2 linked regions of the Cricetulus griseus genome follow. The protein of the gene in region 2 purifies or fractionates together with the protein of the main gene of each other region. This does not show direct contact. Links are inferred from orthologs where the notes say so. Each region holds a gene or a part of one and is shown on either strand. Other genes may lie near its edges.

Region 1 (6,128 bases), on a different chromosome or scaffold from region 2:
AGAATTTCAGGGGTATTTTTAAAAACATCCATTTTAGCCTTCTGCACTTAGATGGAGTTGAAATATGATCAGCTATAGAAGGTACAACTCTATATACACATGTTCTCACAACCCACTCAAGGGAAGAGCCATCCCCCAGCACCATACCTATGAGGAGAATATTGATGTCTCCACGGATGTGGCTGCCGTTTTCAAGCTCTCGTTCCACCCCTCCCAGGAGCAAACAGAGGATTGCCTTCTTCACGTAGTCATGCCCATGAATGCTAGGGGCCAATGAGCGGGCCAACTGGTCAAAGACATCCTAAAGGAAGAACCAACAGAGAAAAAGAATAGTGAGATCCAGTGGGGTTTCTGGAGCCCACAGAAAACATATACTTTTTATTTAAAAATAAAAATAAAAACCCAGGTGTAGTGTATACAGGAGGATCTGGAGTTCAGGGACACCCTGGGCTACATGAGACTGTCTCCACAGGAGAACTGGGCCAGTTATAAACAAGACTTGATAGTACACTGATATTAACTCCTGCATTTTTATTTTTATTAGGTTCACCTGAGCAGCCCAGCAGACAGAACAAGTGTTACCAATCAAACAGCAAAAATAGCCTTAACCTGCCAGTTGGAACAAAACTGGATGCTAACAACAAATACTTCATGAAAAAAAAAAAAAATCCCAACTTCCTCCAGATGCAGCACAAAGATGGCCACACACAGGGCACAACACAGGATCAAAGCCATCCCACTCTTAACTGACCTTGGAACGTGTTTTGCTGAACTTCTTGATCTTGGCTATGTCGTCAGCAGAGAATGCAGGCTGCAGATCCTTGCTCATCTGCTTCACATTACAGGCAATCAGGACGGTCCTGCAACACGGGAAGAGGAAGTCTGCTGACGCCCCAGCCCCACCAAGTGTTCTTGGTCTATTAAACTCAACCAGAACATGGGAGAAGGGGAGGTTTCTGAACCTAGCCGAGCTCTCGGTCCATGAGCCACAGTGAGGATGGAATGCCCAACAAACAAGTGTGCATGCAAAGGAGGTGGCTGGGACTCCTCGCCTAGGCTGGCCATGAGGCTGTATTTGTGTCACTAGTGACTCCCACGTTGGCCTAGACAGCCGACATTCCGAGTGCCACATGAGAAGATGTAGTACAAGGGTCATGTCACCTTACTGGCAGGAAGTACACATCATGCACCAGTTAGTGCTTGCATATGGCAACCTGGAGCAAAGCACCACTAGGACAGAAACTGCTACCAGTGCTCCCCACATTCCAAAGCAGCCCCTTTACCTGAAGGTCCCTGAGGTGTAGCCGCCCTTCTTCCCTGGAAGACAGCGGTAGGTTCCCACCACCTGTATTCTGTCACCGGGTTTCACTTTATCCACCAGATCATCGTCTAGAATGACGTCCACAGAGCGAGGAAGCTGGCCAGCGGGGGCCTTCTCCGGCATCTCCTGGATGGTAATGGTCTGGTGGTCCTTGTAGACAGACAGGCCATACTCTGTCTCCAGGGGGTTGTTCTCCTCATCCTAAAAGAAGGACAGAAAAAGTCCTTGCAGTCTTGTCTCAAAAATGTAGCACTCATCTAATGTGGAAAACATCTTTCAGAGATTTTGAACCTTTAATATCTAGAATCACAATAAAAGTGTATGCATCTCTTACAGCTTTCCTAGCCTGACTCCTGAATTAGTAACAAACTGACCATTGGAAGGGCCAGTTTTCACTGATGGGATCATGACTACACTAACACCCACATTAAAATCCTGACTTCCTGTACTGATGCTAAATCTGGAATTATAATTTAATGCAGTTTTTCTTTTTCTTTTTTTTCTTTTTTCGAGACAAGGTTCCCTGTGTAATCCTGGCTGTCCTGGACCCCACTCTGGCCTGGAACTCAGAGATCCACCTGCCTCTGGCTCCTGAGTGCTGCAATTAAAGGTGTGTACCACCATGCCCAACTCTGAAGCAGTTTTTCCACTTCCCACAAGAAACACCCCACAGACACATGCACCCAAAGCTTAGTACCTGTTCTAGCAGCACCATTCCTACCACAGACAAAGTTTAAAGACCATAGGTAAGTACATGTGGCACAGTCACACAAATGAAAACTGTGTGTTGAGACGCACACTTGTGAGCACACACAATGTTACCCAAAAGCTGCTCAACACAAGAGCACGTACATAGTAAAACAGGCAAAAACAGTGGTGCACGACCTGTGGATTGTGAGCCCTTTGGTGGTCAAACAACCCTTTCACAGGGGTCACCTAAAACCATCATTTACATTACAATTCATAGCAGTAGCGAAATTACAGTTATGCAGTAGCAATGAAATAATTTTATGGTTGGGGGTCACAACATGAGGAACTGTATTAAAGGGTTATAGCATTAGGAAGGCTGAGAACCCTTGGGCAAAAATATTTCCTACTATTAAAGATACCAGGGTTGCCAGGCATGGTGGTGCACACCTTTAATCACAGCATTCCAAAGGCAGAGGCAGATGGATCTCTGTGAGTTCAGGGCCAGCCTGGTCTACACAGTAAGTTCCAGGAAAGCCAGGGCTTTGCTGACACAAGGATAGCACAGCCTTCAATAGGGACTTCTATGCTGGTAAGTTTGTTTCTCACTTTAGATGCTGGTTATAGGAATACATGCTGCTTGTAAAAACTCATTTATATATGTGAAAACTATATATACAATATAGTTTATTAATATATTTTACAATTATATCTTTATATTGCATTATAATATATATTAAGCATCCATAAAAAACATTAAGGTATGCTTCCATTATATGTGAATTTCCTAAAACCACAAGAGTCATTACGTGCTTACTGAGTGCTCACTATGTGCCAGGGACTGTGCTCCAATCTTATGTAATTATCATCACTTTATAAGAGCGAATGCTTTCTGCTTCCCAGACAAGGACAATTTCCAAGGGGTATCCTCTGACTAAATGAGTATAGACATCAGCAATCAATGTTTATGACCTCCTGTCTCACTAAGAAAGTTATCTTCAACTGTTCTCACCCTGAACACTATCAAGAAAGCCTTTTACTGGCTTTTCCCAAATGCACTGAAACAGCTGCAAAGATTACACAATATCATCACCTAATAGAGGCATTTGCCATTTTACTTTTAGAAAGCACGTTACATAACTATGATTACAACTCTGTTAAAATACCTGTCATCCAATGTTTCTCCTTTTTGGCCTTCTATAGCTCAACTTTTCTAAATTTCATTCTCTGTGTGTGGTGCACACACCTGTGTAGATGCACACACTCATGCATATGGAGATGAGGTATGACATCAGGTATCTTCGTTCCAGCTAGGCTAGTCAGTCAGCAAGTGAGATTTTAGGATCCACCTATCTCTCTTCTCCAAAGACAGCTGGGTTAGCAGGCATACAAAGGTACACCAACCCTTTACTTGGGTACTAGAGATCTGAACCTAGGTCCTCTTGCTTGCAGAATAAGTATTCCTACCCAGTAAGCCAACTTTTTACACCATAACTTTAGTACAAAAAAAAAAGGGGGGGCCCATATTCAACTTTATCTCGTACCCCATCTCTCTCTTCAGAATTAATCCTTATCTCATATTATCTACTTTTAGAACAAAGACACCAGATTAATATACAACTACTAGAATTAAAACAGTCTTCTTTAATTCGAGCTGCCAAGGAAGCCCAACCGATTCAGGTCCTCACCTTCGTGGGATAAACAGAACTTGACGGGAAAGCCACCAGGGTAGTGAGATCAGAGTAGCGCCGCTCTATGGTCTTTTTCGTAGCGGGGCAGTAGTGAACACTTCGAACAACTTTGGGACGAACTAGAGAACCTAGGAATGCAAAGGTGTACTGTATATAAAGTCACCCAATGACACAATGACAAAGGAGGGACTTAAATACTGTATTTCCCCAATTAGGTTACCTATTTCAGCAATATTTGTCATTTATCCCTCTTACATTTACACATAGGGTATCAGTGAATCCATGTAAAATCTGAAGTACCACTGATGTCAATTAAGGGAAAGTTTTGGGTTGCAATAATATTGGAAGAGCAGGACTCTTCCAGCTTCAGAAATACATCATCCTGCTACAGCTGGTGGTCACTTCCAGTTCCCCCTAATTGCTGTCCCCTAATTTTACTATTTTAATTTCAGTGCTTCACTTCTCTGAAATGACATGTTCCCCAGACCCACTACAATTCTTCCAGTTTCAAGACCTCCTAAATCTCTATCCTCTAACTCCTTAGGATCCTGGCACCACCTTTAACCCACTCACATTTAGTAACAATGCCTTCCACACAGACCACACAGCTGAGAAAGCAAGACGTGAGAGTCCGGGGAGAAACGTGCTTTGAGCCGAAGCTGCCCTCCAGTCCTATGTAGAACTCCTCATACTGTTTGGCATAGGTAGCATCAATGGAGGCCACAAAGTCCTTCAAGGCCCGCTGGAAGGCAACCAGCTCCTCAAAAGCATTGTTCAGGAGGCTGCGTAAGATCAAGACAAAGAACCATTAGGCAGAGTTCAGGAAACTGACCCTCAAATCAAGAAGAAACAGTCTTACGCCATTAAGATCAGTGAAAGAAGATCCCATTTCTACTTTGTCCTGCCACTGTGTAAGACACAGTAAATACATCAGAATCGAAGGTCACTTCAATTCAAAGATGTAAGAGTGATACTCAGAAGAACACTGGAAGATTGGAGCACTTGAGATGGTGACAGCCATGCAATCCAGATCTTTCCCAGGGAAGCCTGTTCCAGTCTAAACAAGGTGATGCCTTTCTCACCCCAAGGCAGAGTGTTCCCCGCAAAACCCTGTCATCACTCACCGGTTAGCCCTCTTTTCATTCTTCCTGCGCAGGTCATTCACACTGACAATCAGCCGGTACTGGTTGTCACTGATCAGCTCCCGAACTTTGTTCTGGTAAATTCCCTGGTCTTCCTGAAGAGCAATCATGACATATAAAAAAGAGCTACACAACTCAAAATGTTTCAGAACAGCTGAATTCACAATCTGTGCTACCAACGTCTGCCTTTCATTCACTAGTCTCAGATTTCACCTACAACCTATTAGGAGCCTGTAAGAATCATAAGGTCAATATGGACCTAGGACACCCAGGGTCCCTTTCTGCAGGCTCTTAGTTTTATTTACAGCAAGCTTGGATTTCCAAAGCTGCCAGGAAGGAGCCACAAAGAGGAAAAGTTTCATTTAGAACTCAGGCTGGGCACGGGAGGTAAACTATAATCCCAGCACTCAGGCATCTGTGGCAGAAGGATCACCACTAAGTTCAAAGCTAGGCTACAGAGGAGACCTTTTCAAGAGAACCTATAATAACTGGTAGAAGGGGTGATCTTCAGTGAGAGTAAGACTGGCCTCAATCTAAGGGACAGCCAGCTCAGGACTCAGGGTAGCTGGAAAGAGAGATAAGTCAGAATGCAGGCAGGCTCAGCAATGGGGCCTGCAGCTGTGTCAAGGACTTGGGGTACTTAAGGACTATCACATGAGCTCATTTCTGAGTTCTGATCCTATGGTGCCACATACTTCTTTCTGATTTTCGGCTGTAGGATGGTCTTCTAGGTTATAAAGGTTTCTGGACAAGGAAAATGCACCTGCTATTGTTTGAAAAACACGGCCCCCAAAGGGAGTGGCACCATTAGGAGGTGTGGCCTTGTTGGAGGAAGTGTGTCACTGGAGGGGTAGACTATGAGGTCTCTCTTCTCAAGCTTCACACAGTATGACAGTCAGTCAACTTCCTGTTGCCTACAAGATGTAGCACACTCAGTTCCTGCACCACACCTGCCTGCACGCTGCCATGCTCCCCTTCACGACGATAATGGATGGAACTCTGAAACTGTAATCGAGCCACCTCAATGAAGTACTTCCTTTCTAAGAGTTGTCATGGTCACAGTGTCTCTTCACAGCAATGCAAACCCTAAGACAGCTGTGTCCACCAATAGAGCATTAGTGACCACTGACTATTGCATTTGTGAAGCAGTTACTGACGGTGGGGACACTACTTTGTGAGAGGAGGTCAACATGAAGGTATTCAAAAGTCCTAAGTGGGGACTTGGGAGCTACCTGAAGTCTACACCAGTAAAGATGACACTGAACACCAATTATGTTCACTTTCACA
Region 2 (6,614 bases):
CAGTCTTCTCTCACCCCCAAGTAGTTATGGATAGTAATGGTGGCACATACCTTTAGTTCCAGATACTTAGAAACTGAAGGAGGATAACTTGAACCCAGGAGTTGGATGCCAGCCTGGTTAAAATGACAAAATCTGGTCTCAAAGTAAATAAATAGTTACTAACACAGGGGAAAGAGTGGTCAGGCATGGTGACACATGCCTCCCAGTACTTGAGAGCCAGAGACATCTTTGGTTAGAGTGATCTGGAGGCTAAACTGAGCTCCACAAAACAGTCTCGAGAAAACAAATGAAAAATAAGAGGAAAACCAGAGTAAAAAAATGATTCCTAGCAACTGCCTGCAACATCAGGCATTCCAGGGCACCTATACATATATACTCAAAGAGAAACACACAAGTAGATGTAAAACACCTCAGAAGACACACAGATAAAACCCAGAAGTGATGGTACATGCCTGTAATCCCAGAAATTGGAAGGTTCAAGACCTGTCTGGGTTAGATAATAAGTGCCAGAGAAAGAAAAAATGACTAGATCAGATATTAAGGTCACAGTATACTAAGGTCAACAGGAGTTGGATGCAGTGGAGTATGCTTGTAATCTCTGCACTCCAGAGGCTGAGGTAGAAGGATGGAGAATTCAAGGGCAGCCTAGGACTACCTAATGAAACTAAAACTGGGGGAGGAGGGAGTCTAGAAGCAACTGAAAGCTACTGGTTCCAGCACAGAAAGTGCAGGAGAGAAGCTATACTAGAAACAAGAAAGGAGGCTGTCACAGACACCCAAAAACTGACCACAGATCCTGGGCTAGGACATCAGTGTTGAAGATGAAGACTTCTGGACAGGGTGAAGAGATATTTAATAAATCTAAAGCTGATAGAATACACTGAAAGAAGTTGGGTGTGGTGGCACAAGAAATATTTAATAACTCAAGCTGATACAATATACTGACAGAAACTGGGTGTGGAGGCACATGCCTGTAATACCAGCATTTAGGTGATGAGGCAGAAGATTAAGCCTGTGGTCAGCCTGAGCTACATAGTGAGTTCAAGGCTATCCTGTACCTCACAGCAAGATCCCACCTAAAAGCACAGGCGTGGGGCTAGGGAGGTAGTTCTGTAGTTAAGATGGAGAACTGCTCCCCGAGTTTGGTTCCCAACACCCATGGGAGGCTCACAACAGCCTGTAACTCCAGTTTGTTTTGTGTGTGTGTGTGTGTGGGGGGTCCCAACACAACACCTCTGACTTCTAAGGGCAACTCTACTCACATGCACATACCCACACTCCACACACACACACACACACACACACACACACACACACACACGCGTAAAAATAAGGCTTTTAATATTCTACAACTCTGCTGCCTCTTACAGTCTCTGCCCACATGTAGCTAATGAGCATTTGAAATGTAGTAACAACAAGGAACTTAACCTTTAATTCTGTGTAATTTTAACTAATTCAAGTAAGCGGCTGCTGTATCAGGCAACACAGTTCTAGATTAGTCACCTATCTTAAAATATGAGACGGGATAATAAACTTGTGGAACAATATACAACAGGGACATTCAGAATGGTAAAATAAATTCCCTAAGATAGGAAGATGTTCAAGACATATTAAGAGATACATATTTCAGGACAATATGAACAACATCACATTTTCCAGTTTTAAGAAACTATAGAGTGCCAGGCGGTGGTGGCGCACGCCTTTAATCCCAGCACTCGGGAGGCAGAGGCAGGCAGATCTCTGAGTTCGAGACCAGCCTGGTCTACAAGAGCTAGTTCCAGGACAGCCTCCAAAACCACAGGGAAACCCTGTCTCGAAAAAAAAAAAAAAAAAAAAAAGAAGAAGAAGAAACTATAGAGCAGGGTATAATAACCCACAGCTGTAATCCCAGAAATTGGGGACAGGAGAATGACAAGCTCAGAACCCTAGGCTACAAGGGAGACACTAGCTCAAAAAGCTAAGGACTGGATTCGACTCAGTAATATCTAGTACTGTAACAAACTAACTCCATGCAAAGAAAATAGGGGTATGGCTCACTGGTAGAGTACTTACCCAGCACACTTGAGGCCCTAGGTTCAATCCCAACACAGCCAAAATAAAGAGTAGACAACCATAATAAACCAAACTGGTCACCCTAAACAAGACAGAGGCCCTTCAGATTTCCTTTCTTAAAGAGTCCCCACTTAAGAAAAAACAGAACAAAAAAACAGACACCAATTATCTTTCTATCTGAAGAGAAAACCCAAGAATTAAAACAATTCCCTGGGGCAGAGGCTACAGCTTCAGTGGTAGAGCACATGCCTATTCTGGGTTCAATCCCCAGCACCAAAAAGACAATCAAACACAAACCAAACACCATCCAATCTTATCATATTTAAAACCACTTTATTACTACAGCAAGTCCAGGGTACTGAGATAGTTCTCATAAATGGATATTCTGGCTGTGCAAGGTGGCACATGCCTGTGATCCCAGCAATCCATAGGCTGAGGCAGGAGGACTTCCATGAGCCCCAGGCCAGCCTGGCCTAAAGATCCCATCTCAAAGAAATGAGAAAAAAATTCTAATATCAGTCATGGGAATTTAACCCTTTAAAGTCCCAAACCTTTAACAATGGAAGGATTTTTCCTAAAATGTACCTATGCATTTGCACCTTCAGCCAATGTGGAATTGAATCTTCACTTGACATTTGGGAGTCATTATTATTCAACACCAATTGTTGGGTCCACTGTTTTAAGCTTCAATTACTAGTATTTAGTGAAGGAACAGAGCACATACACACCCCTTTAGAGACAGGCTCTCACGGTATAGGCTAGTCTGAAACTAGCAATTATGCTTCAGCCTTCCAAGTGACAGAATCATAGGAAAGCTGCCTATTCCCTTTGAAAACCACCCTAAATTACTGCATATGAATCTGTTTCATTCCACCTGCACTGTACCCAAACCAGTCAGCAGGTCAGGCAGGCATTCTACTACTGAGCTATATCCCAAGCCCATGTTTTATTATTTTGTGGGCATGAGCATCCATCCCCTCCCCTTCTTCATCAGATTTTGTGTTCACTGACTACAGTACTTCTATCTGCTGGCTTTAGTTTCACCCTGGGAAACAACATAATTAGAATTCTAGGCAAAATGAATAGTTGCTATGGAAGCATTAAGGCCCTACTACACATTCCACGGAGAATGGTGGCTCACACCTGTGACCCCCAGCACGTAGGAGACTGAACTGACACAACTAGCCTGGGCTATACAATGAGTCCCCGCCAGAACAAAAGAATATATTTCACAACGTCGGTTATGGGCTGCTGAGGACTCCAGCTTCTTACTAACTCTTCCCTAACGTACGTACGTATGTACGTACGTACGTATGTACGTGTGTGTGTGTGTGTGTGTGTGTGTGTGTGTGTGTTAGGGAGGGAACCCAGGGCCTTGCACATGCTAACTATGGACTCTCCAATGAAATACCCTTCTGTCCCCTGTTTTATTCGAGCTGAGAGAATTCCACAACCCTTTAATTCCATGCAAGTCAGGTGCAGCGGATCTATCAGTGGTTTCTAATAAAGTCCGACTCCGTTGTCACTAGGCTCAAAGAAATCAGAGATGAGAGTGGGAATAGGAAGGTCTAGTTAACTAAAAAAAGGAACGATGACGATGACAACTAAAATTTTACTTAGCTTGCCTACAGCACTATCGGCTCGTGCTCTATAGAAACTCATGTAAACAGCTATTTCTCGCTAGCCCCGGCACGGGAGCAGGTAACAAAGCAGGCGGTTTCTGAAGTCAACAGAGGAGAAAAATATGGCATTGCCACCCATCTCAAGGGGGTCGTGTGGAAACGCCCGCAGAGCGAACTTCTGTGCGATGGACCCCACCCCACCCCCCACACACCGGAAGTTTTGAAATCTCCTGCAGGCTCCCACAGGCAGGCTTCCCGCCGCCGCCGCTCTCAGGGCCCTCGGTGGGCAAGGGGACCTCCCCGTGTCTGCAGCGCCCGGGCTAGGTAGGCCACCAGCCAGGAGCCAGGCCGTCAATCACAGCCAGCACTCGCAGCTGCGTCCCCGCCGCCTGCGCGCCGGAGCCGGGCAGAGGGCAGGTGGCGGCACCTGCGGCTGCGACCCGAAAGGGGCTGTTCCGGCTCGGCTGCCAGGCCCGGGGCCACGCGAGCCCTCGGCGGTCATCTCTGCGAGTGCGGCCGCGCGACAGGCCCGGCCACGCGAACTCGGCTCCCCTCCCGGCCCTGCTCGCCGCGCGCCGCTCACCGAAGAAGCCTTGCACGATCCCGAGCGGGTGGCTCAGCCAGTCTTCTCCACAGGGCATGGCGCTGAAAGCCGGGGCCAGCGCGGCCGGTGCGGCGCTGCTCCGTGGGCCGAGCGCGCTCGGAAGCCGGCTGCTCCTCGGGGGCTCGTTCGCGCCCTCCCACGCGCGGGGCGTCGCGAGTCGCGGGCCGCCAGGAGAGGCTGCGGCGGTGACGAGCGCCTCAGAGCTGCTGCTGGCCAGCGACAGGGGCGGCTTGACGGTCCCAACCTCCGCTTCTCACAATGGCGGGAAATCGCGGCCACCGACCGCGCTGCCAGCGACCTGGGTGGAGCTCGAGAGGGAGGGGCGACGGGAGCGTGCTGCGCAGTCCCGGAGGGGAGCGGGTGGGCGGGGCGCGGCGGCCATTTTGGAGGCGGGTAGAGACGGGGGCGGGGGGGGCGGCAGTCGCGAGGTCGCCATCTTGGAGATGGGCAGAGGAAAGAGACTGTGCTGTGTGTAGGAGTCACCTTGTGACCGCCTTGATGGGAAGCTCCATCAGGCTGCCTCATCGGCTCAAAGTCTGCGTCCTGGCGCAAGGACCAAAAGGCTCAGGCCTCAGAGACTTTTAAGGAGTAAAACTCCATTTGGTATCCCCGGATCTTATCTCTTTGTGACTTTTTTCCTTCTGATTTTGGCACTAGAACTTTTTTATGGTTCCCTGCCCACAATCCCATGTAAGAACTTGTCCCCAGCTCAATGAGTTCTTCCTGAACGAGTTAATTATCAAAGAGGCATTGCAGCCTTTGTGGGTATCTCAGAATTGCAGAGGAACTGGTTCCTCGGGAGAAGCAAGCGCTCAGAACTCTGTTCTTGCCCAGTCTTTAGTTTCTGACCTGGAAAACACTCAGGTGCGTTTCTGCCTGGCAACTAGGGAGTTTCTGTGGCAAGATACTCACTCACCATAGAGCTCAGGATACTCTTAGAGGGCAGATCCAGAAGGGCAACTCCACAGCAACCTTTAGCCTAGGGGATTTAGGAATTGTTGAAGTTTTCATAAAGAAACCATTTACCCACTGTATGGGAAGTACCAGAAAATTCGGGTTTCGTCATCTGTACCTACTTGACAAAAAAAAAACAAAAAACAAAACAAAACAAAACAAAAAACCAGTAATCTGAAGGTACTCTAGAAACTAGATAGGTGGGGCGTGGAGAGATGGCTCAGAGGTTAAGAGCACTGACTGCTCTTCCAGAGGTCCTGAGTTCAATTCCCGGCAACCACATGGTGGCTCACAACCATCCGTTATGGGATTTGGTGCCCTCTCCTGGTGTGCAGATATACACGGAAGCAGAATGTTGTATACATAATAAGTAAATAAAATCTTAAAAAAAAAAAAAAAAAGAAACTAGATAGGTGAAGAATAAGAACTGCTCAGTGGTAGTGCGCTCACCTGGCAGCCTGACATCCTGATATGCAAGAGACCCTGGGTTTAATCCCTAGCAAGGGTTAAAAGAGGGGGAGATGATAACAGAGAAATAGAGACAGCTAGACTGAGTCCAGAGACTTCCTTAGGGAAGTGGGGAAAGGGAACAAAACCTGCCCCCTGCTTTTCTTGGTCTACCCACTCACTGATCAGGGAAAGCTGCCAAGAATTGTTTCCCAGCACTTGGGAGATAAAGGTAAGGAAGGTCAGGAGTTCACAGCCAGCCTTGGCTACATACCCAGTTTGAGGCCAGCCTGAGCTACATATGGCCCTGTCTCATAAAAAAAAAGTTTGTGAACATGTGTGCCACAAGTTTATGAACAACCAGGGACAAATAACTTAAAATGGTTTATAGTGTGGGGTTATGTAGCAGTGATCCATAGAGAACAATAAACTTCTATTGTAATGACAGAAGTTTTCAGTTTCCAAAGACAAGTTACAGGAAATCAAAATATGAGAGACTCATGGTAGACATAGTCTAGTAGTGTATAAAATCTTTCCACGTCTGGGCTGATAAAGATCTAAAATTCTTCCAGATGATTAGCTTCTGTATTATTTGGTAGAAAGGGGAGGGAGGATACCTTGAAAAACCTGTATCCTGTTTTTATGCAAACAGTGGGAGGGCAGGAGTTTTTCTTATATATGATTCTGCTCAGTTGCCTTCAACTCTAGTTTGCTACAGGATGGAAGAGGTAATTTGGACTTGGCATCTCAATATGCTTTTACATCTGGCATTTGTGAGTTGAGAAAACTAACAAGGCAAAGTCAGTGTTATTCTTTGAGAATTCCCCATAGGCTCATATGTTTGAACATTCAGTCTCCAGTTGGTGGAACTATTTAGGAATGATTAAGAGGTGTCATCTTGTTGGAGGAGATGTGTGTTATGGGGGCAGGCTTTG

Evidence for each region.
Region 1: the proteins of Mcmbp (region 2) and Mcm3 purify together in Homo sapiens (affinity purification with mass spectrometry; 10 studies listed by BioGRID and IntAct, counting the BioPlex papers as one, with this or other methods). This does not show direct contact. The link is inferred for Cricetulus griseus from reciprocal best matches to the Homo sapiens genes MCMBP and MCM3.

The regions. Positions count from the first base shown.
Region 1 is NW_023276807.1:25,169,578-25,175,705, reverse strand, and holds part of Mcm3 (DNA replication licensing factor MCM3), read right to left. Parts: intron 4,937-6,128; coding exon 4,824-4,936; intron 4,482-4,823; coding exon 4,273-4,481; intron 3,828-4,272; coding exon 3,697-3,827; intron 1,523-3,696; coding exon 1,284-1,522; intron 861-1,283; coding exon 752-860; intron 302-751; coding exon 148-301; intron 1-147. UniProt on the Homo sapiens protein: Acts as a component of the MCM2-7 complex (MCM complex) which is the replicative helicase essential for 'once per cell cycle' DNA replication initiation and elongation in eukaryotic cells.
Region 2 is NC_048596.1:72,004,064-72,010,677, reverse strand, and holds the start of Mcmbp (mini-chromosome maintenance complex-binding protein), read right to left. Parts: upstream 4,586-6,614; 5' UTR 4,316-4,585; coding exon 4,258-4,315; intron 1-4,257. UniProt on the Homo sapiens protein: Associated component of the MCM complex that acts as a regulator of DNA replication.